Linked DNA regions of Mytilus edulis. The protein of the gene in region 1 purifies or fractionates together with the protein of each later gene. This does not show direct contact. Links are inferred from orthologs where the notes say so. Each region holds a gene or a part of one and is shown on either strand. Other genes may lie near its edges.

Evidence for each region.
Region 2: the proteins of chordin-like (region 1) and bone morphogenetic protein 2-like purify together in Drosophila melanogaster (affinity purification with western blotting; 4 studies listed by BioGRID). This does not show direct contact. The link is inferred for Mytilus edulis from reciprocal best matches to the Drosophila melanogaster genes sog and dpp.

Annotation. Positions count from the first base shown.
Region 1 is NC_092356.1:31,117,115-31,130,686, forward strand, and holds the start of chordin-like, read left to right. Parts: upstream 1-6,380; 5' UTR 6,381-6,890; coding exon 6,891-7,017; intron 7,018-13,572. UniProt on the Drosophila melanogaster protein: Putative negative growth factor. Antagonist of dpp, a protein involved in patterning the dorsal region and in the development of the neuroectoderm; dpp inhibition is enhanced by tsg.
Region 2 is NC_092346.1:21,887,456-21,901,251, reverse strand, and holds bone morphogenetic protein 2-like, read right to left. Parts: upstream 6,262-13,796; 5' UTR 5,573-6,261; coding exon 5,569-5,572; intron 3,249-5,568; coding exon 2,907-3,248; intron 2,226-2,906; coding exon 1,342-2,225; 3' UTR 800-1,341; downstream 1-799. UniProt on the Drosophila melanogaster protein: Required during oogenesis for eggshell patterning and dorsal/ventral patterning of the embryo.

The DNA.
Region 1 (13,572 bases):
ACAAATTTTATTTATTATTTTAATACAATTCCATCTGCCCATTGTCATCGGTGTTATAATGTTGATAAACACAGTGAGATTATTACCTTCTTACTATTATACCTCAATGTGTTGGTAACTGTTTGTTAGTTCCAAGAATATACACTTGCAAATAACTTTCTAAACAATTTCTGTTTCTCTAAATGTCAACATTCATCCCTATCATAATTTCCCCCTTTTTTCAATATGAATAAAGCTGTCAGCTTTTCTTTTCATAATTTTCTTTAATTTGAATAAATCTCCTGGATATTGCTGAATCCTTAAAATAGATAAATAAAATTGAGAATGGAAATGGGGAATGGGTCAAAGAGACAACAACCCGACCAAATAAAAAACAACAGCAGAGGGTCACCAACAGGTCTTCAATGTAGCGAGAAATTCCCGCACTAGAAGGCGTCCTTCAGCTGGCCCCTAAACAAATATATACTAGTCCAGTGATAATGAACGCCATACTAATTTCCAAATTGTACACAAGAAACTAAAATTAAAATAATACAAGACTAACAAAGGCCAGAGGCTCCTGACTTGGGACAGGCACAAAAATGCGGCGGGGTTAAACATGTTTGTGAGATCTCAACCCTCCCCCTATACCTCTAACCAATGTAGAAAAGTAAACGCATAACAATACGCACATTAAAATTCAGTTCAAGAGAAGTCCGAGTCTGATGTCAGAAGATGTAACCAAAGAAAATAAACAAAATATGACAATAATACATAAATAACAACAGACTACTAGCAGTTAACTGACATGCCAGCAAATAAATCTATTATCAACAAATTGTCTGAATAAGTAACTAGATTCAGTTGAAATTAACATTTCTTTAGTTACAGTAGTATACATGAAATAAACTAAGTTTAATTCTAAACAATAAAGTTGTTATTATTATAACCGCATTAATGGTATCAGGCGAACGAAGCAGAAATCAAATCTTAGGAATATACATATTATTTTTTTCCCTGTGTTCTATACAACCCCATTATGGCTGATATGCTTCCATTTTCGTATATAGAAAAAAAGTAAAATCACAAATATACTGACCTCCGAGGAAAATTCAAAACGGAAAGTCCCCATTCAAATGGAAAAATCAAAAGCTCAAACACATCAAACGAATGGATAACAGCTGTAATATTTAACTATTTTATAATATATGACAAGATTTTACTGATTTATATATATATATTTTTTATATATTCCATGGCTGTTATTCAATATTATGACTTTCGACCTTATTTGAATTTTAATTTTCTCATTATATGCGGGTTCATTTAAATGTTCTTATTATATAATGACCAAAAGTTATAAAAAAAACAAATAAAACACAGAACAGAAAACTAAACTTTAGATATACGAACCCAAACCAAAAACGTCGAAAAAGTCAACATTAAATTCATTTCATTCACTACATTTCAAGAAATTTACATAAAAAATTGAATGTAAACTTTAATCAAAATTGAAGATGGAAATAGAAAATATTTCAAAAAGTGGACAACAATCCGACCATACATTGTAGAGCAGAAATCAGCAGAAGGTCAGTGGCGTAGCTGGGTCATTTTTACGTGTACGCCCGAACCTTAGCGAGGGATATGAGGGGTGCCAACCGCTCAATGTTGAAGCACATGCTGGTAGTTGGTTCGAATGGGACGAAGCCCCCGAAAGCTATCGAGAATAAGATACCGTAATGATTCCTGTCAGTAAAAATTCATTGATAGCAACATACATGACTGTACTTTTGAATCTAAATGGTTTATTTGTTTTGGTTAAATTTTGTAATATGTTAACTTATTCATCGTGTTAAACTGGAAGCTAGCCTAATGGTCATTTGTTTTAGAGAACACGTCTAAACCAATATAACTTTTAAATAAGTTTAAAGGGTGCCGTGAGTGAGCATACAATCGACAAAAGCACCTTTTAATGAACACGAAAAAAAATACTTCTAAGAGGTTCAATATAAAAAATTCTGGAACATCTAGGATTTCTTCCCCAAAAAAGTGAATCAATTTATCAGTTCTTTAAAGGGATTTAAAAAAAATCTTAAATTTTCTTTTGATAATTTTTTCTTGATCTGGAATATTTCACGACAATCTATGAAGGTTTATAAATTGAGCATGTAAAACAATTAATAGCGTAAAGAAGAGTCCGGCTATCTGTCTATCAGAAAAGAACAGAAAAATGAACGAAAACAAATGCTTTCAAAATTTTAGTTTTAGACATTAGTCATAGAAAAAGCTTCTTCGGCATTTTCATAAAATTCGATGAAGGTTCGACAAGTAGTTATGGTAATTGAGAAATTACAAAATGTAAGCCCAAACTGCGACCATTTATTAATTGCAGAAAGAAATACATTTTGTCCTTAAAATGCGAGAAAATTAAAGATATAATTGCATTATTATATTGCTCTGAATACTCTTTTGATCATAAACAGTTTCTGTCCAACTTTCGTAAAATTTCACGGAGAGTCATTTAAAAGAATTTATCCACATTCGGAACCTAAATATTGACGTCGCTTTGTCTCGCTTTTGGGACATAAATCACAGGCTCGACAAAAATACAAACAGCATATCGAATCTGATCAGATAGTGAATTGCTTTAAATATAAGAAAAAGACGTAGAATTCATAGTAGATTCAGACTTTTACAAAAGATTCGAACAAATTGATTAAATGATCTATTTGAATAAATTTAGTCCCTTTTTATTCAAAATTGCAATCCAAAAAAAGAAGAAGCACAAGGCTGATGTGCTTTTGACCAGTTTATCTTATTCTATGTCGATTATTTGTTTTATTTTCAAAATTCAAGTGTACGCCCGGGCGTTTTGACGTAAACGTAGCTACGCGCATGAAGGTCATCAAAGGGTCTTCAACACAGCAAAAATTCCGCACCCGGAGGTGGGCTTTAGTAGGCCCATAAATAAAAATGTGTCAACTTTGACACATATATTTTTTTATGATAACAAAGAAATCTTTCAAAATAGCGCAATGTTTTGGTAGCAAAGTGTTAAGTTAACGTAAAGATTTCCAATTTGAAACTTATTTATTAAAATTCATGTTTATAGTATTTGTTATTGTATAAATGTACATTTACATAATGGTTATAATGGTTTACTTTTATAAATTGTTATTTGGATGGAGAGTTGTCTCATTGGCACTCACATCACATCTTCCTATATATCTTTTTACCCCATGTTACACATTAAAAACGTTGCTTCATAATAAAAAATTTTGAAGTTGTTTTTAAATAGTTCAACTTATTGCTTGTCAACGTTGTACATTTGTTCCGCTTTACAGTAATGTCAATGTATTCCGTTAGCAGGGACGAATACTGAATATTTGTTTCAGTGGAAAAAAATGTTACAGGATATTTCGCCCAATTGGAACTTAAATGAAGAAACAAATTTCTATTTCAAAACATGTTTGCATACATCATGGAACTTCAATATTACACTTCCATGCATACATGTAGCTATAGGCTCCCCCTTTTAAGCTATACGTTCATGAACTTCAGTAGCACTGCAAGAATTTTAAGTCAAATAGTAGCCAATCAACCCATCAACCAGAAAACAGATCTATTCTATGTTTTATAAATGTTAGTTTTTATTTTTTCAAAATTTAAAGTAAATGTTTGCAAAGATGAAGGCTCTGTGTTGAAGTTAATTCACATACTTTGACCTATCATGGTTTACTTTTACAAATTGTGACTTGGCTCTCATACCACAACTTTTTATATCTATTTCCTTTTCCTTAAAGCTACACATCAGTCATGAATCAGTGAATGGATAATTTTTATTTTTATAAAACTACATGTCATAGTTACAGAGAAAATAACAGTAGCAGTTCAAGATTAAGATACATAGTGGTTGAACAACCCATCAATTAACTCTTTTTAAATATCCATTAAGCCAAATATTTAGTGGTCACTGTGGACTTTAGTATTTTCGATTTTAAAGCGCACTTATAGTAAATGATAGATAGCATGCGAAATAGAAGTTTCATCATAACATACATGTAAGTTCCAAATGAAAAAGTATTCTGGAATATTATCTCCTCTTGAATAAATATTAGAGTATATGTTCCTAACAGAATACATTGTATAGAAATGTTGTTTTAACAGGAATGTATATCATGACATTGTTTATAACAAAGTTTCTAGTGGAACATCTGTTAGGTTGAACAAAATATACTTATACATATCTTTAAGCTACATGTTCATGGATAAACTAATCATAGATACCAGGACTAAATTTTGTATAAACGCGAGACGCACGGTTTCGTCTACAAAAGACTCATCAGTGACGCTCGAATCCAAAAAAGTTAAAAAGGCCAAATAAAGTACGAAGGTGAAGAGCATTAAGGACCAATATTCCTAAAAGTTATGCGAAATACAGCTTAGGTAATATATGCTTGAGGTAGAAAAGCCTTAGAATCAGTGAATAAATGACCTTTATTCTATAAAAATACTTGTCATTGTCACACAGAATGAGGAATAGCAGTACAAAGTTACATACACAGCTACTTTTGCATAGGTACTAATTCTGTACTAAAAATATGTAGTACTGGAAATTTACTTTTAGTATTTAGTACTATTTCTTTACTTTAAAATTATTGTGATATTTAGGCACTTGTATTTTACAGAACTTGATTTGTACTAAATATTTAGGTACTTGTATTTTACAGAACTTGATTTGTACTAAATATTTTGGTACAGAAATAATACAATATTCCATGTTTGAAAATCATGATTTTAAGAGATTTTAAATAGAAAAACTTTCAAAATGCTGAAAATGTAACGGTGGTAACCACAAATCTGTAGTACCTAAATTTCCAGTATAAATAAAGTACTGTTAAATAGAGGTACCTAAATATTACAATAATTTTAAAGTAACAAAATAGTACTGAATATTAAAAGTAAATTTCCAGTACAACAGACTTTTAGTACAGAAATAGTACCTATGCAAAAGTAGCTGTGTATGTAAATCTTATAGTAGGGGAAAAAAGTCATCTAGCAATTAAATCTTTTTGAATAACCATTTTGCCAAAATATTTAGTCGACTTAAATATAATCTATTTGAAGAGAATTTTTAGAAAATGCCAGATAACATATTTTGTTTTAGCTACACATTCATGAACCAGTGAATGAATATAAAATAACATGTAATAGTTACAAAGAAAAAAAACCAGTAGCAGTACAAGATTAAGGTGGTACCCAACACTTTCACTAAAATTAATTTGGCTCGTTTAATTTCCATAAAAATTTGACAAAGTATTTACTTTGACCCTTTAACAAAAATATAAAAATTTCAAAAAATTTGAACCAACCGTTTAATCAGAAAAATTACACTGGTTATATAGCAGTTTGACAAATACTTATTTTGATCATTGAAAAGCTTAATATTCCCTTAACAACACAACGTAATTAAAACGTTTAGCTGATATCACAGAGTTATCTCCCTGTAGTGTTAGGTACCACCTTAAGTCATATCGAAGTCGAACAACCCATTAAGCCATTAACTTTATTTTAATAAACCATCATGCCACATTATTTTAGCATTTATAGTATACATGTAGACACCCTTTTCATTAAGCTTCACGTTCAAGAATCAGAGAATATGCTAATTTTATTCTTATAAAACTACTACATGTCATAGTTACAAAGAAAAAACAGTAGCAGTACAATGTTAAGTTATATAGTAGTAAAACATCTCCCAAACCATCAAATCTTTTTGTATAACCATTATGCCAAAATATTTAGTGGACTTTAATATTTCCGAATTTTGAAGCGAATTAACTACATGTAATAGTTACAAAGAAAAAGTAGTAGCAGTACAATACTAAGTTATTTAATTTATACTTTTTTAAATTGTTACATGAATGCAGAGTTGTCTCATGGGCACTCATACCACATCTTCCTATATCTATATAGAAGTAAAACATGTAACAAAACCATCAATTCTTTTGTATAACCACTATGCCATAATATTTAGTCGACTTAAATATTTTTGATTTAATTTTGAAGCGTATAAAACTACATGTCATACATGTAATAGTTACAAAGAAAAAACAGTAGCTTTCAAAATTAAGTCCTCTAGTAGTCGAACAACCCATCAAGCCATTAACTTTATTTTAATAAACCATCATGCCACATTCCTCAGCAGGAAATCAATTAAAACACCGCCATTCTTATCTTGATAATGATATGTAGTTAGAAACATTTAATCTTTCCAATTGCGAAAAGTAATCATTTTATTAACAAATAGCCCACAGACTCGATACGTCTGTATTGTTTGAAGTGGATTAACCTTTAACACCTAAAATCAAAATTTATTTATCTTTTATCGTTAACTACTTAATATCATGACTTCATTCCACATAGGATATAATAGTGAATGTTTACCAATTTTAGCACCTAGAGAAGAATTGAATGAGCGTAGGGTTTAGTCACTACGCGAGAGTGTTTACCGAAAAACTTAACTGTAGGTGTTTGGAAGTTACACTTCTCTATGCAATGTTTGATATAAAAATCCTCCCATTTTTGCGTTTTCTATTCATTCAAACTTGCGACCTTTTTATTCTTAACCAATCAACGTGGGTATCATGGTTTATCAATACAAACTCTGATAAATATATATGATAGAGCGCTTCATCAAATCTTAAAAAACATTCAATTTGTGAAAACTAAATAGAAATAAAAATTAGTTACGAAGAATTAAGAAATATTCTTGTTTGTCACGTAAAATTACAAAGAAAAAGATCGATTTGATGAATAAAAATCGTCAAGTGGTGAATAAGTTCGTGTAGATTTCAATAGAAATTGGATATTTTCTCTATTTATTATAAGATTGAAGTAGATTTGAACACATGTTTGATTTATTTAGAGAGATTTTATTACTAGCTGGGTTTGCACACCTGGTCGTAGCTGCTGAAATAAGATTTTCGGCACTACGTCCCGAACCAGAAATCAAGGAGAAGGAAAATTATCAACCAGGTAAGACGCTATTTTATATTTTAAAGAAAAAAATATACATGTTTCTATGAATTTGTTTTCTTATGCAGTTATTTTGAAGAAGTTTTTTCAACTTATTGAAGAGAAAAAAATCGGGGTAATTGCTAAGGGTTATTAACCTATATGATCAGTTTTAATAATCTTGATGGGTTCCATATGTAAGTTTTAATTATAATATCTTTCTTGTAGTATTATTGTTTTTCTTTATACATGGAACCACAATACATAAGATACCAGTCGAAGCTAGATTATGACACTGAAATTCATTTTTTTAACCAAAAATTTCTAATAGAAAATTTCTACAGTTATCTTAAATAATTCAATTGCGATAATACATTTTAATGTAAGACTTTTTCAAAAAAATTATAATCATATAAAAAAAATTAACGTCTATATCGTTTCCGCTTTTTTCTACCAGTTTGATATAAATTTTAAGCCATTACATTACGTTTTGTGTTGAACAAATGCGATTCTAAATTATTTGATTGCAAAAAATGCACTTACGACCCCTGATCATATATCAAAAGCCTCGTAATTTCGTTTAGTTGATATAATTATTTAGTATATTGATTGACAATTTAAATATGTTCTCAACATTATTACTGCATTAACAGAATGTTCTCAAGTAAATTAAAATGTGTGTACAGACTCTCTCTTCAATGGGTTACTTTGGTTTGGGCCTAGTAAATGTTAAAACTGCTCAACTTTCATTTCTCAAATATAAAGTAGATTTTTTTTTCGGAATAAAATTTCTTTTCATTTCAAATTATGAACTATAAATCTGATGGTACAGCACGGTTGATTTATAATTTCAGTTCAATTTTTCTTGGCGTTACCGAAATCGTCTTAGATTTTTATATACATATGTTATATAATTTGTTAGGTTTTTTTTTCAACAGACTTAAAATTTAGGGGACGATTTGATGATATCTTGGGATGGGGGCTGTGACAGAATGCTTATATTCTTCTTTTAAGACTCAACTGCTGTGAGCATATTAGTTTCTGAATTTGTTGGACAAATTATTCATTTTCATCCAGGTGAGGTATGTTCAATTTTTACACGGATGTTATAAGTCATTTGTCGCCCCTCCTCCCCTCCCCAAAAAATCAAAATCTTCCACTACATTTTTTCAAATAGAATATAATTTTGGAATAAAAATTATATAGACATTAAAAGATATGGTATGGGAGCCAATGAAACAACTGTTCATCCAAGTCACAATTTGTAAAAGTAAATCTTTATAGGTCAAAAGACGACCTTCACATAAGACATTTTCTTCATCTTTCAATCTTTTGTACATTCACTAATGAATACGGTCTTATTAATATAGACAACTAGATGGGTTTTGTTTTGTTATATTGTAAGTTTGTTGTCTAGACTCAGCATGACGTATATCCCCATATATCTCTTTTCTTAAATTCATATTTCTATAAAATGTATTTCCTCTATTGTACTAAGATTTTGATAACTAAATCATTTGTTTACCGTTTAATTATGTTTTAACTGTCTCGTTGATGTTTATAATTCTCCTATATCTATTTTTAATCTTTCTGTTAAAGATAATCTAGATTGTTTTAGGGTAAACAAGATAAATATGACAAGAAAAGTAATGCAAGGGAGTAATCATTTTTATACTTTATTCATAACCATTTCTCCAAGTCGCTATTAAGGATGTTCGCTACTCTGTTAAAAATAACAAGCTTTTTAAAAGACTGATATAAATTGAAAGTATATATTAAATAAAGAAACAAAAAAAGCAGAAAAAAATTGAGGGTCTGTGTGCTTGATTTCGAGATATAAGCCGTTGAAAATTTGGAGGGAAATAATTCTCTCTAGGTGTAATTCAATCTTATATTGATAATAACAATTAGAATTTAATACAAAGGACATAACCATATCTCCAGTGGGGGGAGGAGAAGGGAGGAGGCGGTTTTTTTGCGGATTGACTTTTGCACACGATAGCTACTGTTTTTTGTATTTTTTATTGCATAATATTCATTTTTATTCTTTGTTATGAAAAGTTATTTATTTACAGCCTTTATCGGTCCAGACCATTCATTTTCAAAATCCTCCTCGACCCTAGAAATCACATGATCGTCCCATAAGTTGGACCCTTTTCTAATTATCGCTTAAAAGTCAAAGTAATGTATTAGTACCAGTAATATCATTGAGAATGTTGTTAATAATTTAAAATCGGGATTACTATAAACCAAGTTAAAAAAATAATATTGGAATGGAATCATAATTGTAAATTTTAGGTACCATCCTTTTGTTACGAAGAGAGATGTGTATATATATCATATTAAATTGCTTAGCTGAAGAAAAATACCCATATTGAACACAACAGTTGAAAGGATTACCCAGAAGTCACAATCTGACAGAACTAATTTCATCATCTGATCACCCACAGACATTTGGTTCAATTTATTACATACTCTAGAAAAAGAATACGCGGAAGCATTTTCTTTTTGTTAATGATGATCAATTTGGTTCCATTAAAAAGTATAAGGGATCAATTCAATACGATAAATCTCGTCACTGTAATCTTATCGAGCAGTGGGATCGAAACGGGGAAAATCTTAGAGACAATTGTGGTAAAATTTCCTTTCTGAACTTCATTAAGGATGTTCGCTCCTTTTTTTTTTTAAATTTTTGCCAGATATTCGGAACCCTCTGGTTTTATCCATGTAATTCCGTTGAAAAACTTTGCCTTCAAACCCCTACTTTTTTTCCATTGCAAATAGTTTTAAAAGACAAATTGAAAATCTTATAAAATCCTTTTTACTTTTTCATAGTTTTTGACAGGGAAAAAGTGACAATGATAAATGTATGAAAAATTCAGAGAAAAACATTACCCGCCAAATTTTTAATGGCTTATATCTCGAAAGCATGCTCACGAATCTTTCATTTTTTTTCTGCTTTTTTGTAACTTTATTTTCATACTATCAATTTTTAAAAAAAAGTTTTGAAAAGTTTGTAATTTTGAAACTGAGTAGCGAACAGCCAAGGTTGCCGTACAATAAAAAACGTTTAGTTTTTTTTACTGGGAGCTAGAGTTGTATTAGTAGTGATTTTTAATTAAAGAAAAAACAATAATAACCCGGCCCTTCACACGTGTATCTCCCAAGATATGAATATCACCAAATTTTTTCTTTTCAACTAGTAAGTGTTGTTTGGTCCTTATAAGGATTTCAGTGTTGACATCCAATTTTGGTCAGTCCCTGTGATTTTTATTTATTCATTGTGTAGACAATGAAACAATTTTCAAACCGGGTCTCTGATCTTTAAGATTTCTTGCAGATAACAATTTTATTGTTTGTTTCCCCCCCCCCCCTAAAAATTAGAAAGTTTTGAAAATGAGATGAGTGATGAAATTATCTGAATGAAACAATAACAAATGACCATCCATCGAAGTATTGCAAGAGCGTGTTGATTGACCGGATCTCCATATTAAACATTATGAGAATATCATAACTTTGTTTTTGTACAGTATACATTTGGTGTGGCCGAGAGGTCTAAATAGTTAACTACTGTATCACAAGCTTGTCGGCACTGAGATTGTGAGTTCGACCCGCCCCAAAAGGTTCTACTCAAATTTTAATTGACTAAGATTGCCAGTTTCCCCTTCCGAAAGTGGGTGTTTCTCTCTTGGCACATCGGCTTCCCGATCCACCAGTAAAATCTGATTGACACGAAAAAACTTGCCAATTGGGCTGAAAGTGGCGTTAAGCATATATCAATCAATCAATCTAGCTGTATATAATTAAAGGTGTATGATTTGACATAATAAGCTATGGAATTGGGAATGTGTTCATTGATGCGTTCTACTCCAATCTTATAATTGACTAAGATAGCAAGTTCTCCTGCCGACGGTCGGTATTTCTCTCTTAACACTTCGCCCCCCCCCCCCCCCTTCCAGTTAAATTCAATCGCGATGATAAAGCCAATAGGGCTGAAAGTGGCGTTAAACACCAACTATCAATCAATCTTGTTTTATGCATTTACAGATGTATGATTTGACATAATTGGCTGTGGAACTGGCCATATGTTCTCTTTTTTTCTCGTTTTGATCTTAAAACGCAAAGGAAGTTTTATTAAAAGTGTACATCTGATAACAGGAAAAGCATTTTTACATGGATATTTTCTCTTTGTTCTTTCTTTAATTAAGAAAAACTTCTGACCTACAACGAATAATTGTTTACTATAGACTAATTCTATAAAGACTTGGCCTTGAATAAAACCTCATTTCTACAGAATAATTAGTTACAGTAAGAAATACTTTCGCTAGAAGGTTATCACGAAGTATTTGCAGTGCAATTTAAAGAGCTTTACAGGCCCGAATCCAGGGTACGATTGGAATGGATGATATAGAGATTACACGTGATTGAGACATTAGAGAAGTTATTTTGACACAAATACTGCTGTAACTTTTCATTTTTTTATTTGAGAAAAAAAGGATGAAAAAAGGGGAGAGTGTACACGTGCACTCTGAATCTGCGACTGTTTTATGATTTAACATTTACAAGCGGACTTGCGATTGTATATCTTTAGATCGATAGGGTCTGACGTGTTTCGTATTTTTCTTAATCTTTCAAAGATTCTTGCACTCTGAAAAAAATTACATTATTACAAATTGTATAAAAGTCGTAATTAATAGGCATAGATTCGTCCTTTTCATTTAAATCTGCTTCGTTTATGTTGTTTTTATATACTTCTCAAAATGCCAATGACCACCCGAAAAATTAATTAATTAATTGCTGCATGTTTGCTTAGCCTCCAGTTGCATATATCTCAAGCATTTTTCAGAATGATAAATGGCCGTCTGAAGAAATAAAGAATCTGTGAAAATCTGTGACGATGCCTTAAATATTTGATTTGTTTAAAGTAAATTGTCTCAAGGTAATCGTTTTGTAATCAATTACAGGATAAATTATAAGATAAAGCTATTATTCAGCTTAACCTCATCATCGATCTAAAATTGTACTCAAATATACCATATTGTTTGCACTTGTCCTTAATCAGGAACCTGATGTTCAGTGGTTGTCGTTTGTTGAATTGGTTCATAAATGTTTCTCATATTTTATATAGATGGTCTGTTTGACACTCATACCACATCGTCTTACAAAATGTATATCTATAGACCGTTGTTTTCCCCCGTTTGAATGGTTTTACACTAGTAAACTTTTGGGCCCTTTATAGCTTGCTGTTCGGTGTGCGCCAAGGCTCTGTGTTGTAGACAACTACTTTGACCTATATAATGGTTTAATTTTACAAATTGTGACTTTAATGGAGAGTTTTCTCATTAGCACTCCGAAAGATATCAAATCTTATATCTATATAAAACGCACTCTTGTTAAACAAGCTCTTCGCCGCCCCCTTCATAATAAGTTTGACATCATTTTCTTACGTTTGGTTACTTATATGTATTCATAAATATTACAAAGATAGGTTAGAAAGATGTCTGTTCACTTTTGGTATAATATGAAATATCAAAATAAGTAGGTATATATGTATATATGATTACCAACGAGACAACATAATCCACCGGAGACCAAAGGAAGAAGAAGCCTGTTCTTAGCCAGGAACCTGTTACAGTTGATTGACGTTGCCTTTGAGTTATATTTGTTTAATGATTAATATTTGACTTAAATCTCCTTGCATCGATAACAGATATGTACAATGGTTGTCTCTTTTGAAATTTTTCCCTTTTAGTTTACAATGGTTGTCTCTTTTGAAATTTTTCCCTTTTAGTTTACCCTGTGCCTTTGATGATTTACCTTCCGATTTATCCTTTGTCCAAGCTTAAGATCATACTTATCTGCATGGTTATATGTCTTCACATTGTATTTCTTGTCTGTGTTGACCGATTGTACATGTTTATCCCTTTTAAGGTACCATCTAAGTCTTCCGCCATCTTGGATTGTACAATGGTAGAAATCGACTAGTCTAAATGTTTAATAAGAAAAGGATTTTGGACAGAAACGTAATTCATCTGTTAGAATTTTCATTAAAGCTAATAAAATGGTTGAATTTGATCTTATCACAAGGATTGTTTTACAAACACAGGATTCAGTTTTTAAATTATAATCCCATTAGGGGAGACAACTCATTTGTTTAATTACTTAAAAAAATAAATAATTATACAACAGGAAAAAAAGACCACATTTTTTTTCTTTAAATTATCCAGACGCATTTAATAAGAGCTATATTTTTGTATCTATTAAAAATAAATGGTCAATTTTTTAATCAACAGTTTTTTCTTTCTATAATTTTTACAAAAAGTGTCAATTTTTACAAACCTTCCTTTCACCAGTCTTCTGTCTTCAAACAAGGTTTCCATTAAACTTCATTATATATACATTGTATTCTCTCAGTTATTACAAAAATTTGACAGTTCCAGTAGACCAAAGTTTTGGTCGTACATATTAAAAATTTTCGTATAATTTTTGTTTTATCCAAGTTTTCTTCATATATTTATATATGATAGCGGCAATAAGTGAAATTAGGCATTAAGCTTAAATCCTAGGCAATAAGCT
Region 2 (13,796 bases), on another chromosome or scaffold:
GATTAAGGTCTTGCATTCCTAAAATATTTTTTCAACATAGATAAATTCCATTTCTAGCTTTGTTTCATGCAGGGCCGCTCATACAATTCATAATGAGAAATATCTTATAATTTAAATCGTTTACCATCACAAGTTGTTCCGCCTTCCTCGTAACCATCTAACTGGGATTATGGTTGTGATGGTGTATTTCGTGGTCATTGTTAAAAGGCCTACGAAAATAAATAGATAATTCACTGCTTTTGGTTGTGTGTTCGTTCATTCGGAACAATTATTTTTTTCTTTTTAACTGTTTCATTCGCTTGACTTAAGTATGACCACGTAAATTGTACAAATATAGGTATCTTTATGATCGGTATGTTACCCTATGGTAAAATGGCAGGTATATCGTTGTAGCGTTTGAGATGTGTCCTTCGTGTTTACATGCTTGTTTGCACAATGAGAAATATTGTCTTATTTATGACTAAACCACTTGAAAAAGTTCTTCTCAAATACTCTGTGTGGTTTGCTGTTTATTTTTGTCTGAGTTTCCCATATCCTTCTTCTAATCAACTGATTTTGTGTGCAGATCGTCGACTTCTAAGAGGGACGTCATGTGCAGAATATAAATCAAATCTAAGGGATGTTAATTGCTGGAGTAAAATGAAATCTTCGGTATGGAACACTGGTTTTGTATACGCAAAGTATTTATCCCCCGTTTTACCAATTCAACAAATTGACATCATTTAAAATGTTGAAAAGGCCATATGTACACTTATTGATTTTCAGCATTTATGGAGATATTTATAACACAAACACTTGGTTAGTTTTGACTTTTATATTACCCATAATAAAGTCGTCATTATTTATACAACACTGTATATACAATTGTAACATAAAATACTTTATCGGAGCGCTCAGCTTAAATACGTACAAGAATATCACACTCATTCAAATGTTTTGTGAGAAGATATGAAAATAAACAAACTTTAAAATAAAAAGAAGTAATAATATGATGCTTTTACTAAACAGGTAGTAGATTGGTTTTTTTTTTTATATCGTGTACATAAACAGAGTTGATATCATAATAAATGTATGAATGATAATATGCACATTTCAGCGATTCAAAATGCATCAGGTTTTAGTTTAATCAGCACCATAAATAATAACAATAAATTGCTGAACGCTATGACATTGCTTTTCATGAAATATTTAAGGACTACAAATAAAGTCCATTCTCTCGCTCTTCTTCTTGCATCCTTCGCATTCATGTTTCGTTCACTGATACACACACAGCAATAACATTTCATACAAATAAATAAATATCACATTTAACAAATAAATAACAACCAAGTTCCCCTTTTGTCACCGACATCCACAACCTTCTACGACCATATCTTGATAAGCTTTTAGTACTACTTTGTCATGTTCATCAATGTATAACAATGAAATAGGTGATAGTTCTGTTGGTACACAACACGGTTTAGGAACAGACCGTGGATCTATAGAATGAACTAAGTCTTGCACTATTGCATGATTTGTTGCATTTAAATGATCGGCGTATGGCCAATGACATTCGCCGTCACAGAAAAAAGCGTTATAGCCAGAAGGTGCTACTATCCAGTCATTCCAACCTACTTTATCAAAATCTACATATAAAGGTTTTCTACTACATCCATTTTTAAATTTCTTCTTTTTATTTTTCCTATTTTTTCGTTTCTTTTTCTTTTTCTTCTTATTTCTATTTTTATTTGATGCACGTTTAGTCCGGCTTTGTATTTGATCATTTGAATATGTCACTAATATAGGTCTTTGTGAATGCCACTCTGAATCTGATAATGAAACTGATCTCCGTAAACGCACATGTTTAAAATTTTGAAAGGACGGAGACAGTTTGCTGGAACTAATTCGCACTTCTATTCCATGGTTCTGTTTAGGTGTTTTACGCCATTTTAATACTGCTGGGTGAATGTCAAGGGAAACCCATGTTGCATTCTTAGTTTTTACGTGTTTAACATCTACAAGTCGCGTAACTGGATCAACATTTGTGTTTCCCGGTCGCATAATTTCATACACTTCTATTTTGTGTCTAAGTATTTTTCTTCTTGTAATATTATTAGCACTAATGTGTTTATCCAAAAATACTCTAAGTTCTGCTGCAGTTAACACTTCTTCTTCTGGTATATTAGAGATATTAAATTCCATCCTAACACAGCTATCTTCATTACATGATCCGGAATCAGGTTTATCTACAAAAATTATAATAAATAAATTTATCAAACATCAAACTAAGATATTTTGTGATATGCTAAATTACAATAGTTTTTTTTTTATCAAACTGGGTTATTTCTTGTTTAATGTTACCAAATTTTATTGGAATCTGGTATTTATGAGTTGGCTGATTTTAATGTCTACAAGATGAGCCTTTTCAGTTTAAATTTTAACTCATTCAATATACGTGTAGTAAGTTTATATCTGACTACTCTTCCAGTTATATACTCAAAGACTTCATGCATACAGAATGATTTTTTAAACATATATGTGTGTACTAAATTTGCTGGTTAGAGTAATCCTCTATAGATATAGAGATGTTAAACACTTTAAAATATATTTTACTACAATAGTTTTCATTAAACCAGACAGCTTTTTTCTCTAAATTATGGTCAAACCTTTGTTTTATAATACCACATGTTTAAGTTCTGATGGAGTTGTATTGGGAATCCAGTATTTTTGTATTATCAATGTCAATATGAATAGGTTGAGCATTTAGTCGTCTGAATTTGAAATCATTTAAGGACAACTATTCCAAATATAAAAAAAGAGTGAAATGTATCCATTAACTGAAAAATACTTGAGACAAAGTTGTTTTCCATTTTCACTATATTTCCCCCCATCGAGTCTAACATGTTCTAATGTATTTGAATACATACCTGTGTGTACAAAGCTTCTGATCGTATTAGCACTGGCAGCTTTGCTATTTGCAAACTGTAAATTATTTGACGCTGAGATCTGTTGGTTATACAAGTCTATCATATACTGAGGTATTATAATATCGGAACTTGGCTTTGGTCGGCTCTTCAGTCCAAAGATTTGTAGCAATTTTGATTCAAAATTCTGGATGATATTTTGTTTTTCCTTATCATTATAATTTGATAAGGCTTTGTCCAGTAACGAGTTTCCAGTGTCTGATGAATCAACTGTAACAATTCCGTTTACCAAAACGCAAGCAAGAAACAAAAAGGTCCAGAATCCGCAAATCATGATGAAATTGCCTGAAAAGAAGAAAGTACTAATTAGTTTTGAATCATATGTAAGATAAGATTTTAATTATTTTAAAACCCAAACAATAGGATTACTAACATAACAGAAACGTAAAATAAACATATATGTATATATAAACTGGTTAAATGAAAACCACTTATTTTGGACATTTACGTACTTAGGTTAATAGTAACTAGTGTGACCGCCTACAATTACTAATGTCTACCGCAAGTTCAGTTTGTCTCGCAGGTGAATTCCAATGGTAAATGTCATAAAAATCATGTTTCAACATCAAGTAGATTTTACGCTGAAAATTGTACCTCATTTGATTATTGCATTATAAATCCGGAAGAAATGTTATACCATGTAAATATAATAGTAAACGATTTGCTCACGCAATAGTAAACGCTGATATGTAGGGCATAAAGTGCACTATACTGTTAGCAATACATATTAAGAAATGCAAGTCACCCTTCTTTACATAGAACTACATCTGGTATGTGCAATTCATTAATAGACAATATTGGATACATAAAACTTTTATTTCAAAAAGCATAACCATTTGAGTCGGATTTCTTATTTAGTTTATAAGATAATAACGATGTTAGTTTCAAAGACATATTTGTAATGCAAATAGAACAAGGACCGTTTGACATTATGCTATTTATTTTGAAAAAGGTTAAACACTTTATGTATACATATATATAGAAGCACGTTCCATGCTACTCGAAAAGCGAATAAAACATATCGTCAAACAGGTGGCACAAGATAAAAATGTATATTGCAACTTTCAATAATATGATCAATGAAATTATAGTAAAATAAAACTAAACAAATCGACACTAGTTTTAGAATCTCTAACTTGCAAAGAAAGTGTTTCAAATTCCTATGAATCCAATAAATTTGATTATTTTAAAAGGGCAAAGCGATCTTTATTGACTTAACTTTACTAAAGTTTTATCAGTCTATTATCAGACTGTAGAGTAGAAAGTCGTTTTAGCACCGATCCTCAAATCGACAATAAATGAGTTAAAGTATTACATTGTAATTTAGAAGAAAGATAACGTTGTTAACACTAAATCCTTTCATATCATTGTAAGTTCGGCAAAGGCACCTTATCAATAATCACAAACATCACCAACAACTTCAAAACTTTATATCAAAATTCTACGACCAATAAATTAAGGAAAAATCAGTTTATCTGCACTTTTGAATATGTTTTTCTCAAATCATCAGAACTTCCATCATTCAGCAAAAACGGCATTGCTATTATTTCATAAAATAATGAATACAAAAAGAAACTTAACGCGATAGTTTGGTTTTCCACGTTAACATAATTGATATATTTGTTCGGAGTAATTAATATTTGTCTTCTAAGCCTACAGGTGTGTAAACGACATCTAATTTTGATAGAATCACCATGTCTTTAAAAAGATGAATGAAAAAGATTCAATCAAGTCACCACGGAAGATTTCTTTGACTGATAAAATGTGACACAACAAAGATGGAAAATATGTAGAAAATCAACAAGTTGTAGTTTTATTGGAAGGTAACTGATGGATTGGCCATATGATTTATAACCTTAGGCATACTTGTACTATACAGTACAGACTGGAAAATGAATGACGACTAGGTTGGATTTTATTTTATTAGCAAAAATTTATCATTCATAAAGTATGTTTGATTTTTTGTCAAATTTTTTTCACAGACGAATGACATCATTTACAAGTTATGGTTGGCATTTTATTATTATAGACGACAATGAAATATAAAACACGAAAAAATTTAAAACTGTTATTTCTTTGTCGTGGTTCCGGATAAAGAGGATTTCCCATCGTATTACCAAAGAAGTATTATTATTTTGGAAAATGTTGACATTAAAGTAAATTCAATGAGGCGTTTTTAAACAAGACATATTTAAAATATTTTATGTTATGCTATTCCGCTAGTACAGAATTAAATATTTTACGAGTTCATCAATCAATTTTGATATAAAGTAGTAAAGATCCGATTAAATGCGCTATTTTGTTAAGGCAAATCCTTAAGATTTCTAAAGGAAATGATATTGATGTGTAAACCACAGGTGCCAGGCATTTAAAAATGCAAACAATACAGCCTTTTATAACTAGATCCTTAATTTTCCTTTCATCACCGAAAATAAATATACAAGAATATTAAATCCATTTATTAGATGTGTAGTTTGCATAGTTTAGATTAAACCTACTGCTTCGTTCATTTTACGGTTATAGCTTTACTATACAGATATTTAAGTACCCGACTGCGTTAAGTATTTATAACCCTCATTCTAATGGACAATGTCCTAATACTTACACATCCAATGAATTGGAAGACGTGTTGTCCGTCCATTGGTATGTAGTAATAAATATCCACATACACTAGCATAGCTCACATTGTTTTAAATATGTATCCTGAGAAATTAACTCCTCCGCTAACAAGCTACTTAATAAACAATTCTGAACTTCTTATGTTCTCGCATAATCCATTGTAAAATATTAGATGTCTAATCCAAATACTGATAAGAAAACAATTAGCTCAATTTCGAAAATTATTAATCAATGTTCACTATTTATGCACCAAAATATCATAATTTCCTATAAATATACAATTCTTCTTTAATTACGAACTCAAATACACCATTTAAATCACATTCACAAACTTAAGTTCCGATATGTACAATAGTCATTGATTTACATGTTATAACGGATTAGAAAAAATACTTTTTAATCACACTTATTCAACACAGCAGAACACAACTAAATCTGATTGGCAAGTGGGGGAGGTTACCTTTAGTGTACTACAGAATAGCGGCGCTTGCGCAAAAATATGACAGTCATTTTAAAAAGTTGTGACGTCATGTACAGGTAACCTACTAAGTGGAAACAATATAATTCTGTTTTCTTTTCATAATTACAAAATATGCGTTTCCTTCAATGCTCCAAAAGTAAGCTTATCGCTAAATCAGGGAAGTTTATATGAACAAACGGGTTTAAATGTACACTAAAAAATCGCCGGTTCATTCATAAAATACATCTGCAAAGATACTACGTGTTTTTAGATTTCACTTTTAAATGCCTTCACATTAAATAGATCGTATTTCAAAGACGTTTCAAGGGTTCTTTTAAAAAGATTATGTTTCCACTCAATTGGTTAATCGCTAAAAATTTTGTATTCGTTTACTTTAAAGCTGTTTCGAATTAAATTTGTGTCGTTCAAAATTGTTACCATATCTGTATTTAGAAAGCAATTCGTAATTTACAAAGTTAAATAGATGTATATATATACCTATTGTCTTTCTAAACGGTCTTCAATTTCTTGAATATTTAGCAAATTTGTTCAGCACTATGGAATAATTGTTGTAAAAGAATAATTATAATATTTGAATGATTTGAGGGTATTATATACATTATATTTGTTGTTTCTAGTTTGACATGTCTTATGCTCATTCTCTAGCTCGCTCCATAACTGTACAAATATTTTGGTGGTTTATCAAATCATAATTACCGGGTTACCTTAGATTATAATCTAATTTACCTGTAGATTATAGCTAATTGAAAAGATAAGTACTGTGTTATTGTTTGTTATTACGAGTTATGCTCATAATTCTCAGTTAAGGAGTGGGTATACAGATGTTGTTAGGGCGGGCTATCTGTGTTATCAAAACATCTTGATTGAACCATTCTACAGTTTTTCTTATTAAACTTAAATTTAATGAAGAGTGACCATCTGTTTTGTAATTACCACTCCATGAATCTCATAGATAGATAATTACACAAAAAGGTGTTGATTGTAAATAAAAAAGTTCATTCATTTGTTTAATTACCTTTTTGGTTGTTCCTTTGTAAATCTTTTCATTATTTCAACACCCAAATTGTTTCTTTCTTGCACATATTGGTTTTTTTTTCGTTTGTAAATCTTATCATACGACTGTTTAACATTTTGACGTAGTAATGATAACATAGAAAATGAAAGTCGTTTAAAATTCCAGAATGGTAAAATAGATAAATGACATTGACCTCCCAACCCGCTAAGGAAGTGTCTCATTATTATAGCTGTTTGTATTACTAGTACTATGTATCCAAAATCAATTTAAGGCACGTATTAAGATAGACAAAAATTAAGGGATATTTGTCAAATATTTCTTAAATACCGCTGCCGTTATGTTGACATTGTATGTCATCACAAAATTACTTATCTAACCATTAAGTTAAAACGAAAGGAAAAAAAAAGTTGTTTTTACCAATAATGTTTTGATTAATAGGAGTTTATAATTCATAACAAAATATGTATGATCAATATAACTATCACAAATAAAAAAAAAAAAAGAAAAGAAAAGAAAAGATAACCAGTGCCACCTTAAAATTACCTTGGAAAATTTAGATCTTTTTATTCATTTGACAAAAGAGTGCAATTGGGAACCGTGTCAATTTTATACCATTGTGGCAAAATAACGCTTATATTTTGGCTTCACAGTTAAGTTGTTGTCAAATGCGCTGAAAGAAGTGCGGCATGCATATGATTGTTTATATAGTTAAATTCGTAAATGAGCTTTGATTCCTTGTCTGTGTTATTTTTTTACTTGTCATTTTTGCGTTATCAGCTCTTTAACGTTTGTAGTAGATTTTAGACTTTCAAATGCTGTGTTCTCGAGCATCACTGAAGAGATATCAATTGTAGAAATGCTGTGTTCTCGAGCATCACTGAAGAGATATCAATTGTAGAAATGCTGTGTTCTCGAGCATCACTGAAGAGACATCAATTGTAGAAATGCGCATCTGCTAGCCTGCATATAATTGGAACCGTTAATGTTATGACCACATTGTTTATATTTTTACCTGGAAAAGTGCAATTTTCCGTTGGAACAAAGCTACAGCAGCACCATTTTCTGACAAACGTTTTCATACAGATTCAAATTTCATATTTTTGACAGCGTCAAAACATGATGAATGCCACAAATACAACAAAAAACTCAGCACATAACGAAATATTGCACTGCAGTATAGTGCTCCATGAGAGTAATGCTCGTATATACAACAAAACAAAGTAGTACTCTTAAACATAGAAAGTACGCAATAACTAAACTTGCATTTGGGAAGTTATAAACATGTATAAAAGGTTAATTGTACATACTTGTTTTGAGGATTTGTTTGACGTTTAGTTTAGCCTAGATTGGTTCCTGTATTATTCAATTTCCTTTTGAACTTCATTCATGTGTATTGATTAAAAGTGCATGTAAGTGGAATATTATGACACACAACACTTAATTTAGTAACGAAAGAAGAAAAGGCCCACTTTTAACAACAGTGGCAAGATAACATCAAATTATAATCATCTTCTCTAAAAAGTTCGTTTAAAACCTGATTGTTGTACTTGAGTTCGACAAACGTGTAACGCCTCCTGGAGTACAAAAACAGAAAATAATTCCACCCATGTCATTTAATTGAAAAGCTACCAATTTGTTCCTTTTAGTATATACATACAAAATTATTGAAACCAGGTGTTTGACAATGTTAAAATGATAAGGTATTACTTATTTGTGAAAACAATCCATGGGAATGCGTTTGTGACAAGGCAACACAGAAAAAAAGACTGACGGGTACCGCCTCCTGTGTAGAAAATAGGTCGTACACCTGCGCTACTGTTCTGTTAATGGCCATTTAAGTTTGATAAACTGGTCCTTGGTGTTCGTGTCATAGACGAGTTTTAAGTCACAATTTCTATAGCACAATCAATAGGTTTTGCATTTGTTTTTAAGACTTCAATTAACAAAGAAGCAAACAAAGAGCACTACAACATCTGTACAGTATGGGTAAGATTGGATAGTAGTTTTCATTTGGACATGTATACCCTGACGTTAAATATTACGGTGACCGGGTTATACTTATAATGAACCAATTTCATTTTTAAATGCATAATTGGAAAGATGTTACAAAGATTTAACTTCACTTAATTTCTATATCACTTGTCTGTCCGAACATGTGTTTTGAACAAGTTTGGTGTCACAAGCTGTAAAACTGAAGAATTTCAACAATTACCATCTGAATTCAAAGGTTTACTCAATTCAATATTTTATTGAAATTTATTGAAGGATTGATAATATATGTATAATTGAAACATTGAATGGAATTGTAAAAGACTTTTTATAGGTATAAATTTTTAATAAGGTTTGTGACAAACAATCAAATAAAGACAAATTAATGAACGAAATAGTTTAATAACAAAATATAAAAAATAGTTAAATATCACAGTAGCACTTATAAAGTAATTTTCTTTCCATAAGAGTTGACGAGGATATTAATGCGGTCGGACCTATTTACAGCAATTATTAAACCAGTTACAACTTTCTTAAATTATAAATGTTTCAATTTTTACTTGCATGTGAGTAAAATAAATTATATTAACATTTTTTTTTTATTATATCAAGAGTATACGAGGCATATTTTTTTCGCCATGATTCTTCAGAAATTCATATATGTTTTGTTGGTGAATTAATTGATAGTGTAACTGGTAAAATTGACAGGTTAGTAATACTTTTTTGACATAGACATAATTTATTGATTTGGGGACAGGTCATTGTTTTGTACGGTCATCTGTTTTCATTAAAAAAAGGACACACACGTCTGTCATAATTTGTAAATAATTATTCTTAATTGTTTGTAAGTAATAATTTGTTGCCACACCAGAAAACAAAGGATTTTTATGGACTGGTAAATGAAATCTTTCAAAACCCGACACCAGACCCGCGTATTACGAATACGTCGCTCCCTGGTAAGTTCGTGTTTAAATGGCAGCGATATGCTATTTTAACCAAATAGTGAGAAAGGGATACACAATTAACTGGTCTCCGAAATATACTGTTGCTTCCAGATTGCATGTAGAAAGTAATGCATTTCGATTTATTGATATTGATTTTAGTAATATATGGTCAGATTTATCATGAATTTGATCACACAATCTTGCTTTGATATTATATTTCAACCATACATTATTTTAAAAGAGCTGTGTGATCCAGATATAAGAACACCGACATTCATCAAATATGCGTTTATGTAAATAACACATAACTGAGAGGGTGCTAAGACCAGATTGTTACCACGAGAAAAAAATTGTCAACCGAAGCGAGGCCTCCTGTCCAAATTTGAAGAAGCTTCAAATTATTATAATATACGGGAAAAAAATGTATTTACTTAAAAACTATTTAAAACATAAAAAAATATATAAATATAGCCTTTGTATAAGGTCGATACAAGGATATATTGACCTGAAAGAAGTATATTGACTGAGGATGTCATTTAGGTTTGTTGGAATTTTATAGATTGTCTTCTTGACAATAACAACATATTAGTTGCTATTTCATTGACTTTTTTTTTTTTGACATCTTATGTATTTCAAGATTTTTTTCGTCAAATAATCGATCACAGATATCATGTGTTTCAAAACGTTAAACAATATCCTGAAATTCATTACCTGACGTCACAAAGTATATTGGTTTTTAGATATTCTAAAAATAACCGTGCAATATGCTTTTTGCAGGTAAATATGCGTTTTGCTATCCGCCGTTTTCTCTCTACCTTCGAAAATATAGTTTAACATGTGACTATCCCTATACGAATTAATAATATTACGTGGTATGATTGTCAACCTTCCGCCAGAAACCACATGTATCAGTTATATCTAGGAAACTACCCAAGCAAAATGTCAATAGTCGTTTAACTAATATAGGTGTACGTTTATATCTATTGTTGTCGCAATGATTCAATTTCAGCAACAAAACCAAAACGTACACTTATTGAACATCAAAAGAGTTGATAGGGGTATTTTTTTTTTTGCTTGGACATTATCATGCTCGTTTTGGAGATAAGTTACCGTCTGATGATTAAGTAATTCAATTGGAATTATCTGTGTCAATCTTGTAATCGTAAAATTTTACTGTTATGAATCACATTTTAAAGCTGATTTTGCAATGAACCAACGAACATGCACTTGAAAGATATTTCAACGAGATATCGACATCTACTCTGTAAATAATCAAGACATTCTAAATGTACAAATACTGTTAAAATTCATTTTTACTTAATCAACGTTAAAAATGACCGCTCCTCTTATCTGGCCACGTTGACGCATTTTAAAAATTAGATTAGCTGGAAGTAGATCAGTCAAGTTGAGTCAATAAGCTAAACTTTGAGACAGGACGGACAGAAGAACCGACAGATAGTGAGAGGCACATCAATATAAGTTAAAATTGTCATTCGGCCAGAGTTATGGGATCTTGATATCCGAAACCTGAGTATAATTTGAGCAATATACATCAAACTTCATAAAACTATTAGAAACGGCGGTAGACTCCGAAGTCAAGGGCCTGCAATTCGGTGGTTGTCGTTTGTTGCTGTATATCATATTTATTTTTAAAACAAGCCGTGAGTTACTCATATGATTTTTTTTACAACTGCTATTTTTGGATTCTTTCATAGCTGGCTATGTGGTATCGGTTGTAGTCATTGTCGAAGGCCGTACGGTGAACACGTGTTTCTCAGTGACTTCAGTTTTCCTAGAACGTTTAATTATATCTTTACAAAATGTAAGGTTTGATAAACACAATTCAAAGTGATGCAGTCAGGTTGTTTCAAAATATTCAGTGAATTCGGAGTATTTTAGGACTGCACTTGATTATTAAACTATTAATATAATTCAAATAACTCAACATACTTATAACGACTTCAGAAGACGGGCGCTGCAGCAAGTCCCTTCTATTATAATTTCTAACGTAATCTTCATGACAAATTTGTCAAAACGAGACTACTTTTCCTTTCTTACTCAAAATAATTTCTTGTTCCTTCGTAGAAATGTTCCGCTGTTCCTTCTAAATAGCGCATACTTTTTTTGTTGTTCCAGAAGTATCTTCTACGACGTATATAGCAGTAATATAGATATATATATATATATATATATATATATAGATTATAACATGGTGGTTTTTTTTTTTTATATCAGACTCTTATCAGTCCTCAGATGTCATGATATCAGCCCGAGAGCCGACAGGCTCCAGGGGTGATTTTGACCATGGGCTGATAAGGGGTCTGATATAAACAAAAAATGACATGTTAATATGTTTTTTTTATCACATACTTCAACAGAAGACATACAGACAAACACTATTTTTAAAACTTTGAAAAAAATGCTTTTATTGTAATATTTGTTTTGCTTTTTTCAATAATAATTTCCTGATTCCTAAAATATATATTCTTTTTATCCAACTTTGTTATGTTTTACACATAAAATAACCGGAACAATTGAGGGATATTTTCTGGAATTTGCCGATTGAATTCGTATTGCCATGTGATAACGTTACAGCAAAGCATGGGATGATAACTGGAAGCAGCTGATATAAACCGGAAGCAGTTGATAACAAAAGTCATATTTCATGGCTAAGGCAATTCTTCGAATTTAATGAATAAATACATGTATACATAAGTTTTATCATGGGGTACAATTATACTTTTATTTTCTTTACGTATATGATAAAAATGTTTATGACAATGCAGTGTGAAATCTATTGCGAACATGCTACTGTAACTGATAATATGAAACAGGTGTTACCTGTGAAAGGGAACGAAGTCCGTATCAATTACATTTTTTAAAATTCTATCATATTTTCATGTTCTAAAAGAAACAGAAATACTGAAACGTTTCCAGTGTTGTTTCTGTTGTTTTTCATAATCTCATGACAAACGAGACCGGAAGTAAGAATGAAAGAGATTTCTGCGCAAATTTGGGAAAATGAAAAAGTTTACGATTTTGAGTTTATTAGTACATTGTAAATTATATATATTTTAATTATTTTTATTGATTTTTCTACTATTATAGGGGTCTTCGTCCCGTTATTAAAGCATGGAACGGCATGATTTCATATCAGCAGATTGAGCATGATCTTGTTTTTTACAGCTTGTTTCTTGTATATATGTGTTTTGCAATATGTTTATTCTATACCGGTATCAAATTAGTACATTTCTGTACAGAATTTAATTGTTCGTTGTTGTGCATGTACGCTTAGGTTTTTTTTTTTTTTTTCACTCTGCGAGGTTACGCGTCTGGCACAATAAATTTCATGATAATTCTGGTATCTATGATGAGTTTATTTAAAAGGGGAATAGTTAACATTTATATGTTAAAACGTCTAAATTGAAAAATCTTGTTAGTGGTTGTATTTTAAGATATATTAATTAATGTGATAATATTTTTTTTGTTATTTCTTCTTTTCATTTAGGGAATTTTGCATTAATTTCAGGTCCTCGATTGCCCGCTCTTATATTTGATTCACAACATATCTAAGCTTGGGTGATATAGATCATCGCATATGGTTAAGACACTTGTCTATTGTTGATGACAGTGTCTTATCATCTGAATGTCTTTACTTAAATTTTTGTGTAGTTGGGTTGCTGTCTTATTGACATTTAAGCTATAGACATTTTCTTAATAACTATTTTATATTACCCACACACACAGTTATGCTACAGTAAGGTTGAAGATATGCAAGTAATCCT